Cricetulus griseus: one gene and its partners. The protein of the gene in region 2 interacts with the protein of the main gene of each other region in a pairwise test. Links are inferred from orthologs where the notes say so. Each region holds a gene or a part of one and is shown on either strand. Other genes may lie near its edges. The genes, in order: Traf3ip1, Sptbn1, Cep63 and Sh3bp5.

What was found.
Region 1: the proteins of Sptbn1 (region 2) and Traf3ip1 interact in a two-hybrid assay, tested with the Homo sapiens proteins (2 studies listed by BioGRID and IntAct). The link is inferred for Cricetulus griseus from reciprocal best matches to the Homo sapiens genes SPTBN1 and TRAF3IP1.
Region 3: the proteins of Sptbn1 (region 2) and Cep63 interact in a two-hybrid assay, tested with the Homo sapiens proteins (2 studies listed by BioGRID and IntAct). The link is inferred for Cricetulus griseus from reciprocal best matches to the Homo sapiens genes SPTBN1 and CEP63.
Region 4: the proteins of Sptbn1 (region 2) and Sh3bp5 interact in a two-hybrid assay, tested with the Homo sapiens proteins (2 studies listed by BioGRID and IntAct). The link is inferred for Cricetulus griseus from reciprocal best matches to the Homo sapiens genes SPTBN1 and SH3BP5.

What each region holds. Positions count from the first base shown.
Region 1 is NC_048595.1:443,032,300-443,037,619, forward strand, and holds part of Traf3ip1 (TRAF3-interacting protein 1), read left to right. Parts: intron 1-2,170; coding exon 2,171-2,191; intron 2,192-3,425; coding exon 3,426-3,510; intron 3,511-3,925; coding exon 3,926-4,009; intron 4,010-4,740; coding exon 4,741-4,864; intron 4,865-5,064; coding exon 5,065-5,101; intron 5,102-5,320.
Region 2 is NW_023276807.1:77,071,228-77,077,085, reverse strand, and holds the start of Sptbn1 (spectrin beta chain, non-erythrocytic 1), read right to left. Parts: upstream 4,023-5,858; 5' UTR 3,809-4,022; intron 3,772-3,808; exon of another isoform or gene 3,247-3,771; intron 2,958-3,246; exon of another isoform or gene 2,798-2,957; intron 1-2,797. UniProt on the Homo sapiens protein: Fodrin, which seems to be involved in secretion, interacts with calmodulin in a calcium-dependent manner and is thus candidate for the calcium-dependent movement of the cytoskeleton at the membrane.
Region 3 is NC_048597.1:210,822,353-210,827,672, reverse strand, and holds part of Cep63 (centrosomal protein of 63 kDa), read left to right. Parts: intron 1-2,317; coding exon 2,318-2,523; intron 2,524-3,201; coding exon 3,202-3,481; intron 3,482-5,196; coding exon 5,197-5,320. UniProt on the Homo sapiens protein: Required for normal spindle assembly.
Region 4 is NW_023276807.1:188,329,181-188,334,500, forward strand, and holds the end of Sh3bp5 (SH3 domain-binding protein 5), read left to right. Parts: coding exon 1-135; intron 136-2,097; coding exon 2,098-2,358; intron 2,359-2,682; coding exon 2,683-2,900; 3' UTR 2,901-4,189; downstream 4,190-5,320. UniProt on the Homo sapiens protein: Functions as a guanine nucleotide exchange factor (GEF) with specificity for RAB11A and RAB25. Inhibits the auto- and transphosphorylation activity of BTK. Plays a negative regulatory role in BTK-related cytoplasmic signaling in B-cells.

The DNA of each region.
Region 1 (5,320 bases), on a different chromosome or scaffold from region 2:
CCTTCACAGCTCTTGGTGGGAAGAGACTAAGCCACATAGAGGAAGCTAGCTGCCAGGTGCCAGTGTCCTCTCAGGGTGCAGCCAGGGCTGAGCATACCCTGATATGGCAAGGGAGTCACACCTGTCTTTCCCACAAAACAAGGTCATGCTTGGTAGCACAGGCAAGACACTCCTGGGCCTAGTGTGAAACATTTGTGATACCAGGGGTGTCATGAATGATCCCTGAAACAGATACCAGGGTCTCTGGTCAGAGCCCTGCAGACCACCCCCGTTCGGAGGACTTTAGATAGCTAAAAATGTGACTGCTGCCTGGTCCTCTGTCTGCTGTGGCTCCAGTATGCAGACGCACCGTTTGAAGGACTGAGGCATAATACCTTTCAGTCTGTTCCCAAAGCCTGGGAGCCTCCAGCAGGCCTGGCTTGTGCTGGGTCTGGCATGGTGGGTGCATCCAGCTGAGGGTGATAGTTGTCAACTAGTTTGAACAGAATATTTGTCTGAGAGTGATTATATGTCAGGACCAAGGCAGGAACTGCATGGGAGACTAAGACTACCAGCCACCTGCCTTGCTGTTGGTACAGGAGCTGCAAAGGTGGGTGAAAACCCACAGTAGATGATGGAGGGAGAGTGGGGGAGAGGGACTGAGGATGGCCTGGGAAACAGGAGAGCCTACCAGCCATCCTGACAGGAGGGTGTCCAGTGAAGCTCGGAGCTGGGAAGTGTTGATTTGGCTGGCACGGTGAGCAGAAACAGGGAAAGCAAGATGTGGGTTTGCAGAGGAGCCGTCCCAGCCAGGTCCTTCCAGACTCCACGTGGCCATGATAGGGAGGTTAGGCTTTGACGTAGAGCAGTGGGAGATGGTGACATCGGTTATGTTAGATTTCAGAAGCTCCATGTTATTGTAGGCTTGGAGGGCAAGGCAGAGGTGAGTAGAGCATAGCTCAGCCTGCAGGAGACACCAGGTCTGGGCATGCAAGGACCTGAGGGTGTCCTTGTGCCTGCTTCTGGGTTCAGTGGAGTCCCTCATGCCTGGTGCTGTTGTTCTGAGTCCCCACTGCTGTTTTATACTGTCCTTCTGCCTAGTCCCCCACCACTTCCCACACTGCTGTGACACTAGGGTCTCCTAGGGCCACAGAGAGGGGATCCTGGGTCATCTCCCCCTTCTGTGTCCCCAAGAACTCTTGCCTCCCTCAGATGACTTCGTCTAGGAGCTCAACGGATGTCCTGTGCGAGTCAGATCCCAGGGGCCATCACCCCTGTACCCATGTGTGGGTGCTCTGATGCTTGTGCCTTTGAGGGCAAGGCTGCTCTTGTGTGGAGATGGGCATGTGTGGTTGTGTATTGCTCTCCCCAGCTGAGGTGCCCCAGCCCTCACCATATTGGCCTTAGGTAAACGTGTTCCTGGATGTGACACAAGGATTATGTGCCTTCACTTTTGTTGTCTGGTGGTGCTGGGGTTGGAACCCAGGGACTTAGAGATGGTTGCCAAGCTCTGCCAATTCGGCATCCCCAGCTGTGGAGCTTTGGCTTTGACTCCACCCTGTGGTACTTTTGACTGAACGGGCTGTGTTTGTGCCCAGAGTCCAACACTTGAAGAGAAAGGACCCTGGGTGCAGGTGCAGTCTAGGCTGCAGGAATCTGGTGGAGGTGTCTAGTCAGTTCGTTAGGGAGGGCTGAGCTTGCTGGTCCTGCTGGCCCCACGCTGTCACAACAGCTTGTTTCTCATGGCTTCCTGACCTCAGTCATTTTGCTTCACTTAGTTCTGTAGCATGGTTCCTTCACAGTCTGTGTGTTGTCCCATCCCGTCTCCCCACCCCCGTTTTTCTTTTTTTCTTTTCTTCTCGGTCTTTCAAGACAGGGTTTCTCTGTGTAGCCTTGGGTGTCCTGGAACTCACTCTGGAGACCAGGCTGGCCTCAGACTCAGAGATCCGCCTGCCTCTGCCTCCCGAGTGCTGGGATTAAAGGTGTGTGCTGCCACAGTCTTGTTATGTACAATGTTGTGGTTCTGGCTGACCATAGCAGACTGATGGGGACATGCTAGAGAAGTGCCCAGAGGAGCCCTGTCCCTGCAGGTTCCCAGTTACTGGAGGTGTATGTTCTCTGACTGCTCAGTGATTCACTGTGTGTGGTTCCCTTACATGAAGGCTAATTTTCTGATGCTTTTCCTTTCTAGGCGACTCCCCCAGTGACGCAGGTGAGAGCGGTTCTGATGTGTTTGGTGTGGTCATGCATGTGCAGATGTCAACATAGGCTCTCATTTCTGTGCTTTAAAAATGTACCAGTGAAATACTAAGGGAAACACAACATTTGAATTTATGTTAATTTTCTGTGTTTTAAATTTCAGTCTTGTATGTGGGTTATACATGTTTGTGTTTCTTTTTCCTTTTTTTGTTTGTTTGTTTTTTGTTTTTTCGAGACAGGCTTTCTCTGTGTGGCTCTGGCTGTCCTGGAACTTGCTCTGTAGACCAAGCTGACTTTGAACTCACAGAGATCTGCCTGCCTCTGCCTGTTTGTGTTTTATCTTGCAAAGCCCCATGTTTCAGGGCTCTTTCCAGAGTATCACATTTATTTCTGATGTTCAAATTCTAATTTATCTTTATGGTTTTCTAAAGTGTACATTTCTTTTACTTTAAATAGTAGAATAAATCCCACTGTTTTAGTAGTTTGGACTTGTAACTTGCAGGCTTAATCTTTTTATTAGAATGAAAAAACTGTGTTTTAGCCAGGTGGTCCTGCATGTTTTTAATCTCAGCACTCAGGAGGCAGAGGCAATTAGACCTCTATGAGTTTGAGTCCATCCTAGTCTATAGAGAGAGATCCGGGCCCTTCAGGGCTACATAGCAAGACCTTTGTCTCATAAACAAAAACAAAACTATTTACTGACTATGAAAAGAATATAGTATTCACTGTAGATAATTTGAAATGCAGACCAGTGTAACAAAATGAAAGCTACTTGGTGACTGCATTGTTTATAACTGAGCCATACACACTTCTAGGACTCCACATGTGTGAGTGTGACTGATGTCTGTTACTACACTGTGTCGTCAATTAGCTGGTAGGATGCGGAGTCCAGGATTCGAGTGGACTGTGGTTTGCTGAGCGATTGACACGCCTGTCTGTCTAGGGGTGCTGCTCCTTTCCTTAGGTTCAGTTCATTTGTATTAAGTTGTTGACTGGATCCATCCACCCTTGATTAGTTGGCCAGTTTGCATTAATAGAGTTTGCATGTCCCCATGTCCCCAAGCATCCACATTTAGATGTGAAACTCTTCTGTTTGGATGAAAAGAATTCATTGAAAATTTCAGTCATTTGATTGATGCCTTTTCAAATACTTATATTTGAAATAGTTGGTATTTATATGTGAGTAAATTTATTTTTGTTACTATTGAATTCTTTTTGAATTGCTGATTGGATTGTCACCTGTTCAGAAGGAGACGCTGGACCTATTGGCCAGGATAAACCTGAGGTGTCAGAGAATGCCGAAGTCCCCAGTGAACTTCCCTCCAATCTCAGGTGTGTCCTTCCGCAGTGCTTGGGAGTGTGGCCACTCCTAGGCCAAGCTGTGGCGGCTCCTGCCATAGCTTCTGCTGCCTATTCAACACTTGTGCAATGTCATAGTTATTATCTGTACACAGTAAGTGAAAACTACTTGTACAGCTTTCTTGTGTCTGAGTTACATGGCCATGTTTGGAGCATTGTAGCAGTTTGGGGAATCTCTAGCAATGGCGAAGGTCTGTCATGCTCCGATGAATGGCAGCTGTGCTGCGTTAATGGGTGTTCATAGTCCTCCGCAGAGTGTGTCTCTGACTGTCACACTGACAGTGGCATTGGAATGAGTATTAATGTTGACCTAGGCTTTTATTTTGTCCAGTTTGAAATGTGTGGGAGTGTTTCATGTCCTATTTTTTTCTTTCCAATACTTACTTAGGAGAGTACCTCGGCCTGGAAGTGCACGACCAGCACCTCCCAGGGTCAAACGACAAGAGAGCACTGAGACGCTGGTGGGAGACAGGTAAGACGGCCTGGCCAGGAGGTTCTAGAGGACTGGGCCCGTGTTCTCTAGTGTATGGGCCAGGGGTACGGGCATTTTGGGCCTATGCTGAGAGACTAGGTGGGGATGTAGGAGGTATTTCTGGGAAAACTTGCTTTTGAAGAAAGGTGGGGTTAGGTCATTGCTTTAAAGCCACAGAACAGCATGCATTCCAGACTGGCAAAAAGGAGAAATGTGTGTGCTCATGTTCATGATATCTCAGAATGCATGGGCCCATGCTGGGTTGTGTTTCTCTGACCTCTAGATAGAAGACTTTCAAAGCATAAAAAGGAATAGTTGAAGGCTTAACTGCATAAAAGTTAGAAACAAAAGGGTATCCCAAAGAAGAGGATATGGATATGGAGGCTAGGCCTAGGGGAGCTGCCCTGTGAAGAGGTGAGGTCTGGGTCTATCTGAGAATCAATGTCTGGGAAAAGGGGGTCCCAAGAGCCTTTGTGGCTCCAGCAGAAGGACCAGCAGGGCTGGGGGAGAGGGCTGGGGTGGCCTACAGCTCTTGGCAGTATGGAGGCTTTGGGCTAGTGAAAGGTGGTGGTCTCTCTGTCCCCACTATTCCCGGAGATTTCCCTTCACCGTCTGCGGCAATGGCAGTCTGGCTTCTTTCAGATAAATGTGACGTTTCAAGGTGCACAGGGCTGATGACAGCTGGTGGCCGATGAGCCACTTCCAATGTAAATGGCTCTCTTCTTGTTCAGGTCAGGAAGTGGTAAAACCGTCTCCAATGTGATCATCGACTCACAGAACTCTGACAATGAAGAGGATGAACAGTTTGTGGTGGAAGCTGCCCCTCACCTTGCAGAAATGTCAGAAATTGAGATGGTTAGTTCACTGGAGGGGCCTGTTCTTAGTGAATGGTTTTAGAAATTAGCACTTTGGCTTTTCAATTTATGAGATACAGTGTTTTCCCCCTAATTTTTCTGTAAGCCGACTAGTTTCTTTGGTTTTGTTTTTTACATTTGTCTGTTTGCTTAATGACTTTGAAAATTCAGCATAGCTGGTCTTTCTCCTTTTCTGCTCAGGTGCCGGCAGGGGACCTGGAGGATGAGGAGAAGCACGGTGAGTGTGCATGAGTCCACCTGTTCATGTGGATATGGCTGTCTGTGAGTGCTCTCACAGAGACGCAAGCGGCCATCCTGTGCCTAGCTGTGTCCTAGGAGGGACACTGTTGCTGCCATCATGTGGACCTGTAGGGAACCGAAGGGCCTGGAATTATAAGCGTGCGCTACCACACCCACCTCAGTCTTGTTTTTTCTTCATATAAAATATTCCCGGGGC
Region 2 (5,858 bases):
GTAACAGTGTTCCATAAATGAATGATATCCAAGTGTCTTTTTCCAAAGATGATGGGTGTAGGTGTCTGTGTGCGCACACACAGACAGACAGACAGACACGCACGCACGCACGCACGCACGCACGCACGCACGCACGCACGCACGCACGCACGCACGCACGCACGCACGCACGCACGCACGCACGCACGCACGCACGCACCCAAGCTTGTTGTGTGTATTTGTGCCCATGAAGTCAGATTCCCTGGATTGGAGTTACAGGTAATTGTGAGCTGCCTAACTTGGGTGCTGGAACCAAACTCAAATGGTCCTTAGTTAGAGCAGTGGATACTTAACCACTGGACCATGACTCAATCCCTGAACATGATGTTTTAAAATAGAAAATATATGTCTTTCCAATTGTAGTAGTTACTTATTAGTTACAAAAAATGTTATTCTTGTACTATATAAGGTTGAACATGACATAACATGCCAAGAAAAATCAGAGAATTACACTTGGTCTTTTTGAAGAAAAAGTGCTGGGTAATATGCATAGTAAAGAAAGCTTACAAGAGGAGCCCTCTGAGCTACAGTAGTAGTTTTTTTTAGCTGAGACCCTGGCTCTGTCCTCTGCATACCTGTAAAGTATTGAAGGACCCAAGTCTACACAAGGAAATCTACAGAATAGTAGAAAAGGCCACTAAAAGAATGCTGTTGGTTAGGGCTCAACCTAATTAAAGGAGTATCAACGCTGAGCACAAAAGTCAGTAAGTTAACAGAAATACTAACAATAAACTTGGCCTGTAAGGTTATCACTAAAAATACACTCTTTAGCCAGGCAGCAGGAGGGTCACTTAAGCCCTTGAATTTTAGATCAGTGGATCCTGTCTTAAAAACAACTAAGTACAAAATAGGATCTTAAAATGAAAAGTTCAAAATTATTTTAACAACAACAAAACCCAACCAGAAACAAAACCAAAAACACCAAGTGATTGCCCTTCATGTTTAGCTAAATGTGTTTTGTAGTAAAGTCCTTCTTTCTCAAAATAGTACCTCCACATGGAAAATCACACTTTCTTACATCAGGATAAAAGAAGCAAACTTGCCAAAGACACCGCTGGTGTCAGGTTTTTGCTCAGGATGCTCTCTACAACACCACAGAGGTCCTCTCCCCTTGCAATGAAAGATGACCTAGGCATAGTGCTTTCCCCGCCCTAATACTTTTCATTACTGCAGATGAAGTTTTTGGGTCACTGCAGAGGTGACAGTTACAAAGTGCTTAACCCAACAGAGTTCTGCAGCTGCTGTGTAAGTTAGAACAGCTAAACCTCCTGTGACATCAATACGGTATTTTTTACAACATAGTAAATCCAAAATGTCTGCATAACCCATGCACATAATACTCAAAAAATCTTTATGCAGCACAGTTTTAGGCAGCCAGCACAGCCGTGAAGCTCAAATCCAAAGTCCCATCTTTGAATAGCCCTTAAGTATGAAGGGCTCCAGATAATGTACACACGCATAACACACACACACACACACACACACCAACCACAGACACTATACATGCACACCCTACATACACACACCACAGAGACCACACACCACACACTTACCACACCACACACACACCACACACCATACCACACACATACCAGACACCACACACCACACATACACAACACAGACACCACACATACAGATACCACACACTTACCATACCACACACACACACACCACAAACACCATACCCATACACAGACACCACACACCACACAGATACCACACACTTATTACACCCCCCCACACACACACCACATACACACCATAGACACCACCCACATACACAGACACCACACACACACACACACACCCCATACCACACACACACCAAACTTACCACACAACACACCACACCCCCCCACACACACCCCACACACACACCAAACTTACAACACAACACACCATACCACACCCACACACACACAGACTACAAGCTGTTCTACTCTGCACTAACAGATTCATCGGAGATTAAAAATAAAACAAAAGCAGGCTCACCCTTGGCTTTGAAAGGCTAAACTTCCAGTTAGTATATGAAGTCTGCCTTCATGTTTACATTTTAGGACAGCCTGGGGTGACATTTGAAATTTATCCCACCTTATACCTCATAAACGAAATACAGAAATGGCAGCTTAAAGGGACATCTCCTTGTACCAGTGGGGACTTAAATGGTACTGGGAACCATTTCCTCACCAGATACCAACAGCAGAGGCCTCAACCCGTCCCCAGCAACACCTATGAAAATATACCTACAAGTCTGGTTTTGAAGTCAACTAATTTGTTATCAATCATGACATTTATCAACAAACCCTTAATAGAAAGTCAAAATAAATAATAGTACTTGGCATACAGAAAAATCAGATTAAAAAAAACAGGTTAAAAGAATCACGTAATATTTTCTTAGAACCACTGGAATACTATATTTTAATAAATGCTTTCAGGAGCATATGATCTGAAATGAAAAATCATTTCACTTCAAAGATGGTTTCCTAGGGGGGAAAATACATTTTCAGTAATGACCAAAGATAGACAAGGAATTACAACGTCATGCCTGTGATGATCTAATTAATAAGCACCAACTTTTCACAAATGATGGAATTAATGCCTATCTGGTTTATGGGCGATGCACAGAAAAGCTGAGAATCCACAGCGAATGTACCATGGCCTCTGTACACCGCTGGGTCGCGTCCTTCTGCAGCCCCTCCCTGCAGCGCTGATCCCTCCTTAGCATCAGACTCCCGCCCGCATCCGCAGGCCAGCTGCTTTGGCCTGCATCAGTGCTGCAGGGCGCGCCTCGGTCCCCCAGAGCCAACAGGCGGGGCAGGAAGAGTCGCCCCCAAAGCGAAAGTCCCCCCACCCCCAACACACCCTAGGTGACCTGCTCCTCCCAACGCCACATCTCGCCACAGCAGCATGACAAGGTAGAGGCCAAGGGCTGCCCTGGGCCTGGGTGGGGCCGGGCGGGGGCCGCAGGCTCCGGGTGGCTGTGCCAAGCCCCGCCGGCGAGAAGCCCAGAGGCTGCGATACTGCTGCATTGTGCTGCATCACGGTGAGGGCACCGTGAGCCATCCATCTTGCCAAAAACGCACATCCCCGCCCAAAGAGCCCGCACCGAATCCATTTTCTCTTCTGCTGAAGCACTCCCACACGTCCCTCTCCTATCCGCTCTGGCTTGACTGCAAAAAATAACGGGCAATGCTTTCCGTACAGCCTCCCCCGTTCGATGGCAGCACCTGGCACCTCTCCTGTCACAAAAACAAAGGGAAGGCTCCCTCGGAGCGGCTGTCGTGAGCCGGTGACCAGAGGCTACCAGCCCACCTACCCCAGACAGGGCCCGAGGGTCCCGGCGCCCGCACTAACCTGTTGAAGACTGGATGGCAGGAGGCTAAGGCGGGCGCGACGCCCCAGGGCGGCTCCCCCAGTCCTGCGCGGGCGCGGGGCTGGGCGAGGCGGGGGTGGCGGGGCGCGCGGGGCTGCAGCAGAGCAGCCTGGACCCACGCTGCTCGCAGCCCCGCACGGAGCCTAGGAGAGCCCCTGGGAGACCCCACGCTCGACACCCACCCCCGTGACAGGGCCCACGGCACCCGGTGGCAGGAGTCCTCACTGCGGAGTCCGCCGCGCCCCGAGGGCCGCCTCCCCACCCCCACGGCCTTCGGGGCGCAGGGCAGCAGCGGCGTCACGCGCCCTGGCCCGCGCCCCTCCTCCGCCCGCCAGCCCGCCCGCAAACAGCCTCGGGTGAGTTGGCATCCTCCTGCCTCCGACACGAACCTACCTCCGGGGGTGGGGTGGGGGCGTCGGGGTCCCGTCCTCCTCCCGCTCCTCGGCGGCCGGGCGAGTGGGCCGGGTTGGCGACTCCGCGGGGCTGGCGGCGGCTGGGGCCGGGGCTCACAGGACGGGACCAGTGGGCGCTGCTGCGCGGGGCTGCGCGCTCGCTCCGGGCGGAGAGGCGGCCGGGGGAGGGACTGGAGGAATCCGCAGCCTGAACGGCGACAGCTGCACTGATTCCGGGGGCTGGGCGGGCGCGGGGCGGGGAGGAGGGTGGAGAGAGCGCGCGGGGCGGGCGGGCAGGCGGGCGGGCGGGCGGGGGCGCGGCGCGGGGCGGGCAGAGGGGCGCGGGCGCGGCCAGGCTCGGCGTCGGGAGCGCGCACACGCCTCCCGCACCTCCGGAGCTTCAGCGGCTCCTCCCTGACGCGCGCCCTCCTCTCTGCGCGCAGCCCTGCTGCCAGGCAGCCGCCCACCCAGCGCGGGCTCGGTTCGGATGCAGCGCGGATGGGCGAGCGCGTGCACGCTCCCCCGAGCAGTGGCCCTTCCCCGGCCCTGGGCCGCGCTCCCTGCGACAGGGTCTGGCCTGGGCGGGTGGGTAAGGCTGCAGCCGCCACCGCTGGGAGCCATAGGACAATGGGGGCTTTTGTCCCTGTATCTGGCGAGGACCAATTACACGTTTAATTTGAGGCTAATTCGATTACCGCCATGGAAAAAGACAGGCTAATTTTCTCGCAGCCTCTTCTCGCCCGCGATGTTCACCTTTAGAACGTAATGGAGAAAGAGTTGCACCGTTTGCGCGGTTTCAGCTCAGTGATGGTGATGATGTCCAGCTTGGAGAGGGGTGACAGTGACCTCTCCGAGCGAAGCTTTGGGCGTTGGGGCCAGTCACGCGTATTCCTTCAAGCGGTTAATGTATTCCTCCATGGTGAATGCTTTTTCACCTTTCCCCCAAGGGTAGCTGGCAGTAGTCTACAAGTGGTTTATCTAACCCATGACTCATGGTCAATCACAGGCTCAACTTTAACCTGAGGTCAGGTGCTCTGTCCTGGGTCTTTGGAAGTGAGGTCTGCCGGCTGCTGTGGAGGACCCCTGAGATGGCGTGAAGATTGGAGTTCTCCCACCTCCATTTTCTGACACTGGACGTTTTCTTGAATTTATGTTCACTGCCCCTCACAAACAAGCCCACTGGCCACCCTGTCATCTCCCAGGCTGTGCAGAAATCCTGTAACTGCTCTCAAGGGAGGAAAAGGATGGTGAGTCATCCTGACTACGAATAGAAATGCTCTTTGGAGAACAGGGTCTGGAGAAACTGGCTTTCTCCCAGTTCTGTAAGATGCCCAACACAGCACTGTGGACTTTTCAAGGGTCCTTGACTTAAAAAGCCCGAGGCAGTGTTCCCTAAAGATCTACCCGCCGGCTTAAAAAGCACCCCGGGCTGATGGCTGTATATTTTAGTGTTAAAGTAAAACAAAATTCAATAGTCACACCACTCTGAAGGTGATTGTTAGTTCTGGGGCTTTACTATCAGTTTGGATTTCATACCAATGTTTGCTTTTGATTTATATGCAAAAAGTTGAGGAAGACAAGTAATTTAACGTTTTCCTCAGAAGGTTGATAACACAGCCAGAAGGTCAGTTCTTTCAGGGATAGGATTCTTTGTCTATTTGTTCTTTTGAATTGTTGTTCATATTAAGAGGCACTAGAAAGTACTTGTAGAACTGAATCAAACAGAAATGGAAGCTGCTACCCTTCCTGAGTAATGAAGGAAATCCACTAGAAATGGAAGTTGTTTACCTTTCACAGGTGGGGGGGAGGCAGGGCCCCTGGCATCACCCCACCCACACTGTTAATAGATCACCAATGAAAACTTCATCAAGACTGGAAAATGTCTCACTTCAAATTCTTTCAAAGCAATTGTGAAATGGCAACACCTAAGTGCCTTTATTACAGATAACAGGTACTTAAACACATCTTCTCTTGAAGGATGGCTCATCTCCTAGTCCCCATTCCACTCCCCCTAAAATCTTATTTTTTTCTTCAAAAAGGAGTGCCCCCCT
Region 3 (5,320 bases), on a different chromosome or scaffold from region 2:
TTGCTCCAGAGACTCTGTCTCCTCTTTCAAAGTGTTAGGATTACAGGCAGACCACCATGTCCACTCGGCCAGCATTTACATGAGTGTTATAGATCTGAGCTCTGGTCCTCCTGTGTGGCAAGTACTTCAGCACCTGAGCCATCTTCTCAATCCCATAACTAAACGTTTTATAGGAAGTGGAAGATGGATGGGGGCAGGAGTTGGAAGACCAGTTGGCTAACATGCTGGCTGGCTAATGACTGGATGGATGGATGGATGGTAAATGGGTAGATTAGTGTGTGAGTGGGTAAATGGATGAGTGGGTAGGTAACTGAATGGGAGTATGGACAAATGATTTTGTATGCCCTGATAAAGCCAATAATGAGTAAGTTGTAATTCATGAACTCTTCTGATATATACTGCAGGATCCTTTAAGAATATGTGATTTGGCAGTGTTAAAGATTTAGGGACCCAGCTGGGCGTTGGTGGCGCATGCCTTTAATCCCAGTACTCGGGAGGCAGAGGCAGGCGGATCTCTGTGAGTTCGAGGCCACCCTGATCTCCAGATCGAGTGCCAGGATTGACTCCAAAGCTACACAGAGAAACGCGGTCTCGAAAAACAAAACAAAACAAACAAACAAACAAAAACAAAAACAAAATTTAGGGACCCTAGTGTGTTCATATTCAGAACTGAGAGCTTTGGGGAATGTCACAGCCAGACTCTGCCCTGAGTTCTGTGCAGCTGAACGTTCTCCTGAATCCTAGTGGAAACATTGATCTTTCTTTATTCCCCTAAGTACATGCCTACATGCCTGCTACCTATTTGTTATGCTACCTTTACCAGTTATGTACCTGGAGTAGTTGTTAATAAACCACTAAGTCTTGGAGATTCTAGAAAGATGCAGGGAAAGACAGTATTATATATATCTTTTAAGAATGTGCAGTGGTTCTCAACCTTTCCAATGCCTTGACCCTTTAATACAGTTCGTCATGTTGTAATGACCCCAACCATAACATTATTTGTTGCTACTTCACAACTGTAATTTTTCTACTGTTAGGAATCATAATATATTTTTAGAGTTAGAGGTTTGCCAAAGGAGATCATGGCCCACCGGTTGAGAAATGCTAGTTTAATGATTTTTTTTAAGACATCAAAGTGGTAAAAATCCTGTCAGTTTTAGCTTTCTGTGGTTCCAGAGTTACATATAGTGTGGATATCTTGTACAAATTGTCAAAACATAACTATTAGGAAATGCTTTTTGCATGTTATCACCTAGGAAGCTGAGATTACTTTTCCAAATTAATCTATAATTATTTTAATGAAGCAGCAGTTTTCATGAATATTGGCTACTTTAAAGATGGGTAGCAGGTGACAGTGCAGCCCATGCCCTGCAAAAACAAAGACAGGTAGCAGTGGACAGTGTAGCCCCTTTGTAGTATACAAATACAAAGATGGGTAGTGGTTGACAGTATAGCCGCATGTCCTGCAAATACTCCTCTCTGAGATGTTGTCAGCCATGGGCAACTACTGAAAGGTCTTGTAATTCCTAGTTTACAAGTGCATTTACATGTTTGTGACTTGACAGGTAAATTATGTTTATCAGATCACTATCGACCAGCTTGCTTTCACAGTTTTTTTTTTTTTTTTTTTTACAGAAAATGAAATGTTAAACTGTAAAGATCACCATCATCTTATAGAATGCTAATTAAAATCTCTCATGAGAAAAAGTAGACCTGTATTATCAAGAAATAAGATATGTAATCATATAACTTAGACCAGATCACAGTAGTAATTCCTGCTATATACTTGAGTCCTGCTTTTATGTTGCCTAGCTTTTTAAAACTAGGTACCAAAAAGTGCTTTTGGTGAGAGGGTATTTATTTAAAAGCTACCCCTTTGGGCAGAATTCTTTTTAGAGTCTTGTGTTTAAATTACTTTCTTTGAATCAGTTCTTTTGATTTCCTTCCACAGGTATTCTGTGTGAGTAGGGGTGGGGTGGAAAGGGTGCCCCTCATTCTCCTTTAAGAGCCATGGCTATTATATTCTTGATCTCCCCTATCTCTGATTCTTGAAGCTTTCCTCTGCCCTGTTTCTACCCCTGATGTCGAGTACAGGAGGACGCCATCCTGCCCCCAATTTCCTCCTCCCTTCCCTCTAGGCAGACTGATGCTTTCTTTGTGTTCATCTTAACACAGCTAAAGACAAATCTTCACTTTCTCTAGGTAAAGCCACAGATTAGATAAAACTGGAAAAGGAACTATTTCAGCCAACACCGTTGCAGATTGATCATAAGTACCCTTAAACATACAAGTGATTCTAGTATTCTTTTTTTATTAGGCAAAAGAGATTTCACTAACAGACCTTCAGGAGAATTATATTGAGGCATTAAATAAATTAGTGTCTGAAAATCAACAACTACAGAAAGATCTGATGAACACCAAATCTCAGCTGGAGCATGCTACTCACGTGTGTACAAAAAAAGATGGCAGGATCTTTAAACCAGCACGCAGCAGAGTAGCTGAGTTCAAGAACGCAGAGTTTAAGTAAAGTTCCTTAAAAGTCTCTTTGACATGTGTGTGCTGCCGTGTGATTTCCTCTGCTTTGAGAAGTGCAGTCATCACAGGCTCTGGGTTTAATTCTGACTGCAGAGTGCACAAGTGGCTCAGGTGGTTCGGCCTTCATTTCATTACAGCTTTTGTTCTGTGCACCCTGCTTATAGGTGTGAACCCCATTTGTTCCCCAGAGCGTTTTCATGCTGCCTCCCACCACCTCTATCCCACCTGTTCCATAAGAAGTAAAACTTGGCTTATTATAAAAAGCGTCCATTGTATTTTTGGTCAATTAATATCAGGTTGTTACCGTAAGAAAGATTCAATGAGAAGCCACTGGCTTCAGTGTGTTTTCCTATCAAAAGCCTTTGGTGACACTCTCACCCACAGTGACATTATGTGGCTGCCTTCTCTGGGCATGGGGCTGTCCTGCCTGGTCACTCTGAATCACTGTGGTAGCTTGTTTGGCCTCTGCTATGGGGCAAGCATGAGAGCAGAGCTTGAATGAGTGAGGAACACTTGTCCTTACATGGGCTGCTCGTTTCTAAGTGACAGCACCTTGCTACCTAGCCTGTTATTTAATGTTCAGATGAGCATGCTTCTTTCAGCATTTATCGGAAAGAAAATTTGCTACAATTTTTCATTTATTTTGTTTTCTAATCTGCTATCCAGGCCAACCCATGGCCAGCACAGACATGATGGAATAAAGACTGAGCAGTACAAAACAGGTCACCACTCGCCTCGAGAACAAACGTTGGATAGCATAGAACCCATGGCCAGGGGCCCCAGCCCCATGAGTCCTCACACCAGCCCTGACAGCTCCACCGTGTCTCTGCCTTCCAACTTTCTATGCTATGCTCACTCTTTGCCTTCAATGCTAGATATAAATGATGGCAACTTTTCTGACATCCTGTCTGACTGTATGAATGACCAAGAAGAGTTTGTATCTTCGGTATGGAAACGTTCTAATCTTAACATTTATTTTTATATTTAATTTAAGGTGAAAAGGGTGTTTTGTTTTACTGGGTCCCAATCAGTAGTACCCTTTATTATTTTCACACATTTCCACCATGCAGTTTTACTCATGAAGGCACATTCAGCCAACATGACTTCAAACTCACGTTCTGAAATGAGTGTAGGTATTCACTGACAGTAGCCTGCACCTTCCTGCCTGCCTTTTCTAGAGAGGGCTGACTCTGTTGCAGTGATTGCATCAAGGGCTGTTTCTGGATGCCAGCAGAGTTCCAAAGCATGGGCAGTGATAAGGGAAAAGGGGCTGTTGGGAAGGGGCTGGTGGCAGAGGGCAGACGGCAGTGCATCTGAGGTGTGCAGAGTGGCATTTGGGTATCTGAGATGGCCCTGGTAGTAGAGGCTATCTGTGACTCTGTGCTGGTTCCCCCACCACTAGGCTCCACTGTTCTTTGTCCTCTGTAGGGAAGCACTTGTGTTGGGCCATTTCATTGCCTGTTGTCAGCTGTAGTCACATCCTTGTGAAGGTTTCAGTATGATTTTTAAAATGTGTCAGCAATTCCATGGAAAGGTTTCCCTTTAGTTTTCAAAATGAATGTTTTACTTTCATGTAAACAAACAAACAAACAACTTAACACCTAGAGAAGTGACTTTTTTCCTAAGTTTGGCAGCACACCTTTCCTGATTTATGATATGTGAATTTTATGGATGTCACTTTTTCTGAAGAGTGTGAACATCCACGTGTTTTCCTTCAGAAGTACCCAGTACTTGGTGCTAGTACTCCAGGGGGCCAGCGTAGTTGATCTGATTATTCAGCAGTTGCCTGTTGGCTTGCCCGCTAGACTTTACTGTGGTCCTGCTGTGCCCATGTGTGGACACACAGAGCAGGAGAGCTGACTTGCATGTTCCTAATGGAGGTAGCACAGGGTGGCCTCTGTTACCTGTCACAGTGTTCTCTGATGATGGCATTGTGTAGTGTAAGAACCTCAATTCCATCTCCAGTTAGTGTGCTGTTGGGATAGTCATTTCTCACTTTAGAAACTCATTTCTGTTGTGTCAGATGGAGACAAGATACTCTTCCAGGCTGTGTGTATGTCTGTTCTGTGTGTTTATTTACACAGTGATTTGTGCTAACTCAGCATTCAGGGTGACTTCCAAAACATAACTGTAAATGAGGCCAATTACATGTGCTAGATTTCTGTATTTATTACCTCCAAGCCCTGAGATCAGAAACATAGCTGGAAGCAAGAGTTGCAGATCAGAGACCATGGATGGAATTTTAAGAAAGGGAAAAATACTGATTTTTTTTTTAACTGGCATCTAATTTGTTTTCTGTAGCTTTTCAGAGCTTTCAAGTGAGAGTAACTTTCAGGGTCTTGAAATAGCAGGCATTGGCTGTGTTCTCGAGTGGCAGGCAGGCATTCAAGACTGAGCTGAGATACTCTCAGACTAGTGACGAGCTGTTTACACTTCACATGGACACTGCTTGAGTCAGAAAGAAAGAGACTTATGGTGCAGTGTTTTTAGAACTTACCTTTTTTTTTTTTTTTTTTTTTTTCCTTTCTTGGCATTAAGATAAAAGTATCTCTTCAGAAGAAAATTTCCCCCTTTAGCATTGCTAGGCAGAAAATATCACAAATAGTGGCAGAGCATCCATCCCTGCTTCCTAACACATGTCACGATTTGTGCCTCTCCCAGTGCACGCTGCCCGTCTCTCCTCTGGGATCGATAGCTACCAGGTTTCTGGAGGAGGAGGAGCTTCGGTCTCACCATATTCTCGAGCGCCTGGATGCACACATTGAAGAATTGAGGAGAGAAAGCG
Region 4 (5,320 bases), about 110 Mb from region 2:
GGATCTCAGATGAGATACATGAGCGGCGACGTTCCAATGCCATGGGTCCTCGGGGCTGTGGCGTGGGGGCTGAGGGCAGCATCACATCAGTGGAGAACCTGCCTGGGAGCAAACCTGAGCCTGATGCCATTTCTGGTGAGTCTCTCCAGCAGGGATCACACAAGCATGTGTGATCTGCTTTCAGGGCTATCTTATCCCACAGTCCCTATCCTTTGTCCATCACTTAAGAATTGGAGAGTTGGGGGCTGGAGAGATGGCTCAGAGGTTAAGATCACTGACTGCTCTTCCAGAGGTCCTGAGTTCAATTCCCAGCAACCACATGGTGGCTCACAACCATCTGTTATGAGATCTTCTGCCCTCTTCTGGTGTGCAGATATACATGGAAGCAGAATGTTGTATACATAATAAATATTTAAAATCTTAAAAAAAAAAAAGAATTGCAGAGTTTGGCAACCCTGCAGGCTGTTTGATGGTTTCTCATGTTTTGTGGGACACTGTGTTCATTGGCTTGCTACTGAATGTTAGCATTCTGTGGTCAAGTAAGTTTGGAAAGTGTTCCACCTCCACCCCTCTTAAATAGTCTAAGTACATATTACAACATTCAAGACTTGAAGTTCTGAGGACAGATTTAAAAGGGACTTGGGACCCAGATTTGATTGTGACCCCACTTTACCACTGCACATGGGCTAGTGGGCCTTCATGTGTTAGCTGCTTCAGCTTTGTGACGGGGACAGTGTCTCCTATGGTAAGGAGGGTTGTGAGAAGTGACAGCTGGCAGGTCTCCCTGGGGTCTGACCACATGGGTCTCTTCTGTCCAGGCATATCCTGTGCAGATAGGATAGAGGACTGACCTAATTTCTGTTTATCAAGAAAACTACACTGTGACACTCAACACTTCACAACTTTTCTTTTCTTTTCTTGTGGAATAATCCATTGTGGCTCTTTTAGGCCCTGTCTTCAGACATTCTTTTTTGTTTTTCCTTATTAGTATTATCTTTAAAAATAATTTGTGTATGAGTGTTTTTCCTACATGTGTATCTATGTATACCACATGCTTGCCTTGTGTTAGAAGATGTCAGATGCTCTGGAATTGCAGGCATTTGTGAGCTTCTATGCGTATGTTGGGAATCAAACCTGGGTCCTCTGGAGGAGCAGCAGGTGCTCTTAACCACTGAGCCATTTCAAGCCCCATCCTCAGCAATTCTTGAAAGCCATCAACAAATGCTGAGTTGCCAGGTTGAAGGGAAATGAAACTATAATGTAATCAGTGGCTATGAGTGAGTTACTTTATACATCACTTCATTAATCCTGTCCATAGAGCATTTGAGCAGTCAAGTTGCTTGACAAGGCCACACAGTCAACAGTGGAGTTAGGATCTGAATTCATTCAGTCTGTCTGAAGCAGTATAGTACTTAGAACAATCCTCTCAGGAATGCTAGAGGCCATTTTTAAAGATGCCATAGGTGTAAAGGGAACTAGGAAGGATTTTAGAAGCGAGAATGCAGTCTGAGAGGCTCTGAAAACAAGATGGTATGTCTCTGTGCCTTGGTTATTCTGGTCCACAGATTCAGGCACAGTCAGAGCATTGAAAATGAATGTTCTTTGTTGCAAACAGTTAAGGGCATCTCGTGAGATCAGAAGATACTACAGACATTCCAACAGCTCTTGCTGCTTACGCCAGAAGGAAGACCTTCAGTCTTCACTGTAAGATTGCCTCTGTGTAGGACACATTTCAAAGGGCTAGTGTCTAAATTTATCTGTCTTCCCTTTCCTTCAGTGCTGGGGATGGAAACCAGGCCTTTGTATATACTAGACACGCACTCTGCCCTAGCCATCCCTAGCTGTCCTTTATCTAGGTAGCACTTGCTGGCACAGAATTAGAGCAGGAGTTAAATTCCTCTAGAACACAAACTTTGCACAGGAGCTAGCTGCTGCTTCCTTTCAAATGCTCTGGAGGCTGGTCAGAAGAAGGCTCAGGAAGGTTGTAGGTCCTGCCGACTCCATGCTGTGGGACTGCCTGCCCGCAGAGAGCAAGCCTTTAGGAACTGGGGTACTACTTAGCAGACTCCATGTGACTGATGTTCTCTCTCACCATAGTGGCTTCCGAAGCCTTTGAAGACGACAACTGTAGCAACTTAGTGTCTGAAGATGACTCAGAAACCCAGTCTGTATCCAGCTTTAGTTCAGGACCAACAAGTCCATCTGAAATTCCTGACCAGTTCCCTGCAGTGGCAAGACCCGGCAGCTTGGATCTGCCCAGCCCTGTGTCCCTGTCTGAATTTGGAATGATGTTTCCAATACTGGGCCCTCGAAGTGAATGCAGTGGGGCCTCCTCCCCTGAATGTGAGGTGGAACGAGGTAAGTTGCAACCCAACTTGTGGATTGTTTGTGCCTTTGCTTGGGCTCTGCCTGACCAGCTTCAATAACATAGAACTTAGGTCCTTTGTCTCTCCTTAGAACAGTCCCCTTCACTGGTTTGATTCCTAGCTACAAAATGAGGATGAGTGTATCTCTAAAGATACACACTAAGGAATAAATGCAGTGTATCACCCAGTGCTGGAGAACCCCTGAGATGCATGGTGGGTGGCGTGGGAACTGCAGAGGGCTCAGGCGGCTGATGCCAGTGCCTATGGTACTCTTGGAACTGTCAACTCCCATTTGGCAACCTTTGTATCTCTACAGGAGACAGAGCAGAAGGGGCTGAGAATAAAACGAGTGACAAAGCCAACAACAACCGCATTTTCGGCAACAGCAACAGTGGTGGTAGCAGGGGCAGGAGCCAAAGCAGCACATCCCTTGAGGGCCAGACCTTGGAAACCCGTATGAAGCAACTCTCTCTACAATGCTCAAAAGGAAGAGATGGGATTATTGCTGACATAAAAATGGTGCAGATTGGCTGATCCATGTGCAATGGATGGCTATGGATGGCTATGACCCATGTGCAAATCACATTTATACATGAAACTCAAGAAACATCGTGCCAATAATCATTTAACATAAGCCAAATAGTATGCATTTACTCTAAACTGCACTAACCAAGTTTCAGTGATCTTGAGGGCTGAAGAATTTCCCTCTGATAAGAGCTCTTGGGCTGGTGTGTTTTTCAGAGCAGAGCCATTGCAGATAAACTGTGACCAGGGTCACAGCCTTTGCAGAACATTCCCTGTAGCGGCAGTGTGGAAGCAATAACTAGTTTCTGTGAAAGAACCTGAGCCAGGAGGAGAACTGGACACTTAGCCAGACTGGGGTCACCAGCCTACATCTCTATCCCCTCTGCCCCCTCTGTTTGGGGAAACTGAGATGTTTTCTCCATTATATCACAGGGCACCAAAATAATTTTCAAACTCACACAAAAACTCAAGTGTTCAGAACACATTGTTTTGACCTAGTGAAAGCTTAAAAACAATGCCAAGAACACAATTCATCTTCATCACCTCTGGTGCTCAGAGGGGGATTTAAAAAAAAAAAAAAAAAAAAAAAAAAAAAGCATGTCTTCTGGGACACCAATTAAAACCATTTCCTAGGAAAGCCACCATGAACTGCACTTTTGGGGGGTGGGAAAGGTGAATGAATGCCAATGTGGGGATGGGTAATGAGGTTGCAGGGACATAGCATAGAGGGGATTTGTGGCTGTGGGAGGCTCTATAGCCTGACTTTAGCCTGCCAGCCAAGGGGGGGTATATTCTAAGACAAGTGCATGTGAAGAATGGTTGCCACTGTTCTATCTAGACTGACAAGAAGTTAATTTCTCTGTAGGCTGTAACTTCTACAATAATTGCAATTATTTAAGGTTTATGCTGCACCTAGTATTCCTTAGAGGAAACGGTCCTTAAAGCTAGGAAAGGGAGTGGGCATGTACTGGCAAAGGCTGGTAAATAGAAGCAATGGATGCCATGATAATAGTGTGTTTAGACTTAGTGTTTATGGTTATGCATATTTAGGGCACTGTATTTTATCTGTCCTGTTTTATTGATTTGGCTTTTCTGAAGAAAAAAGCACCCCCTCCTCCATTTCTTAATTGTCTCTTAATTCTGTCACAGCTTGTATATTTTAGCCATGTATGTATAGCTTCATACAACAGTGGTTTCTCCTTTTTTATTGATGGATACAGTATCCTAATTACAAGGTTATTTTGTACTTGTTTTAATACCTTGAGGGTAATAAAAACTAAGAAAACTTTGTGACTTCAGATGAGAAAGCCTGCTGTTGTCTTACTCTGGGAAATGCCATCGCTTTAAGAAAGCCCATAGAGTGCAGTGGGCATCTGCTCTCTTTTTCAGGTAAGATGGTAATCCTGGTCATTTAAGATCAATCCCAAGGTCTGGATTCGAATTCTACTCATGCATGGTGTTACACAGGTGTGCACCAAGGAGAGACAGGCAGGCAGCCCACAGGTGACACTCAGCTTCACTGGGGTGGGGGTAGGGGTGGGATAGGGGCTAACATCCTGTGATATGGTTTGTCAGTCTGATTTAATTTGTGGTACACCTGGGCACTTTTTCAAAGGAGTATCAGATTTTAATGTATATGCTGCATACTGAAATGTGTTGTGGGATAAGTGCCCAGTTAGTGTTGCCTATTAATGTTCTCAGAAGTCCCTTTCAACTGCTCTGTTCCCTGTAGCCGAGACTTTGTTTATTTCTCCTTCCTATCAACATTTGTGAGGTAAAGTTGTGTAGTTTAATGTTTAGGATCTACCACGGGGGATTTCTGGGTCACCTATCACCCTGAATGTTGTTTCTTCCATTTGCCTTTTAAGTGGGAGTCACACATTTACAGCAGGGAATAGAAGATAGAATTTTCTTGTGTTGGGAATCATAGTACTATATCCCTTACTTGGGCACTGGGGCTTCATAATCTGGCCTCTGACCTCAATTCCCCATCCCCATCAGCCTGGGAATGCACAACCTTTGACCTGGCTCCTGTTTCACAGTGCTCCTCACATTTCCAAGTTAAAGCAGGGCCACTGTTGCCATCATGGCCTTCTTACTTTCTCTGCAATGTTGGGATTCGCTACTCTTTTGACTTTATTTCAAGTTTATATGGCCAAGTGAAATCTCATTGATACAAATCTTCCAACTACTGAAGTAAAAGCTATCCCTGAATCATGTATTTTCATGCACATCTATCTTTTATAAGGAATACAGTAGATTAATCCAATAAATCAAGTTCTGAAGGTTAAACTAAAGACACTTTCCATAAGTATAAATATTTTATTTCAATTAAAGGCAGTAGAAATAGTTTTGATAATTATAAAGTAGAGACAATGACAGATCCCATCCTATTTTTCAGAATTTTTAAATCTTGAGCATCATTCTGT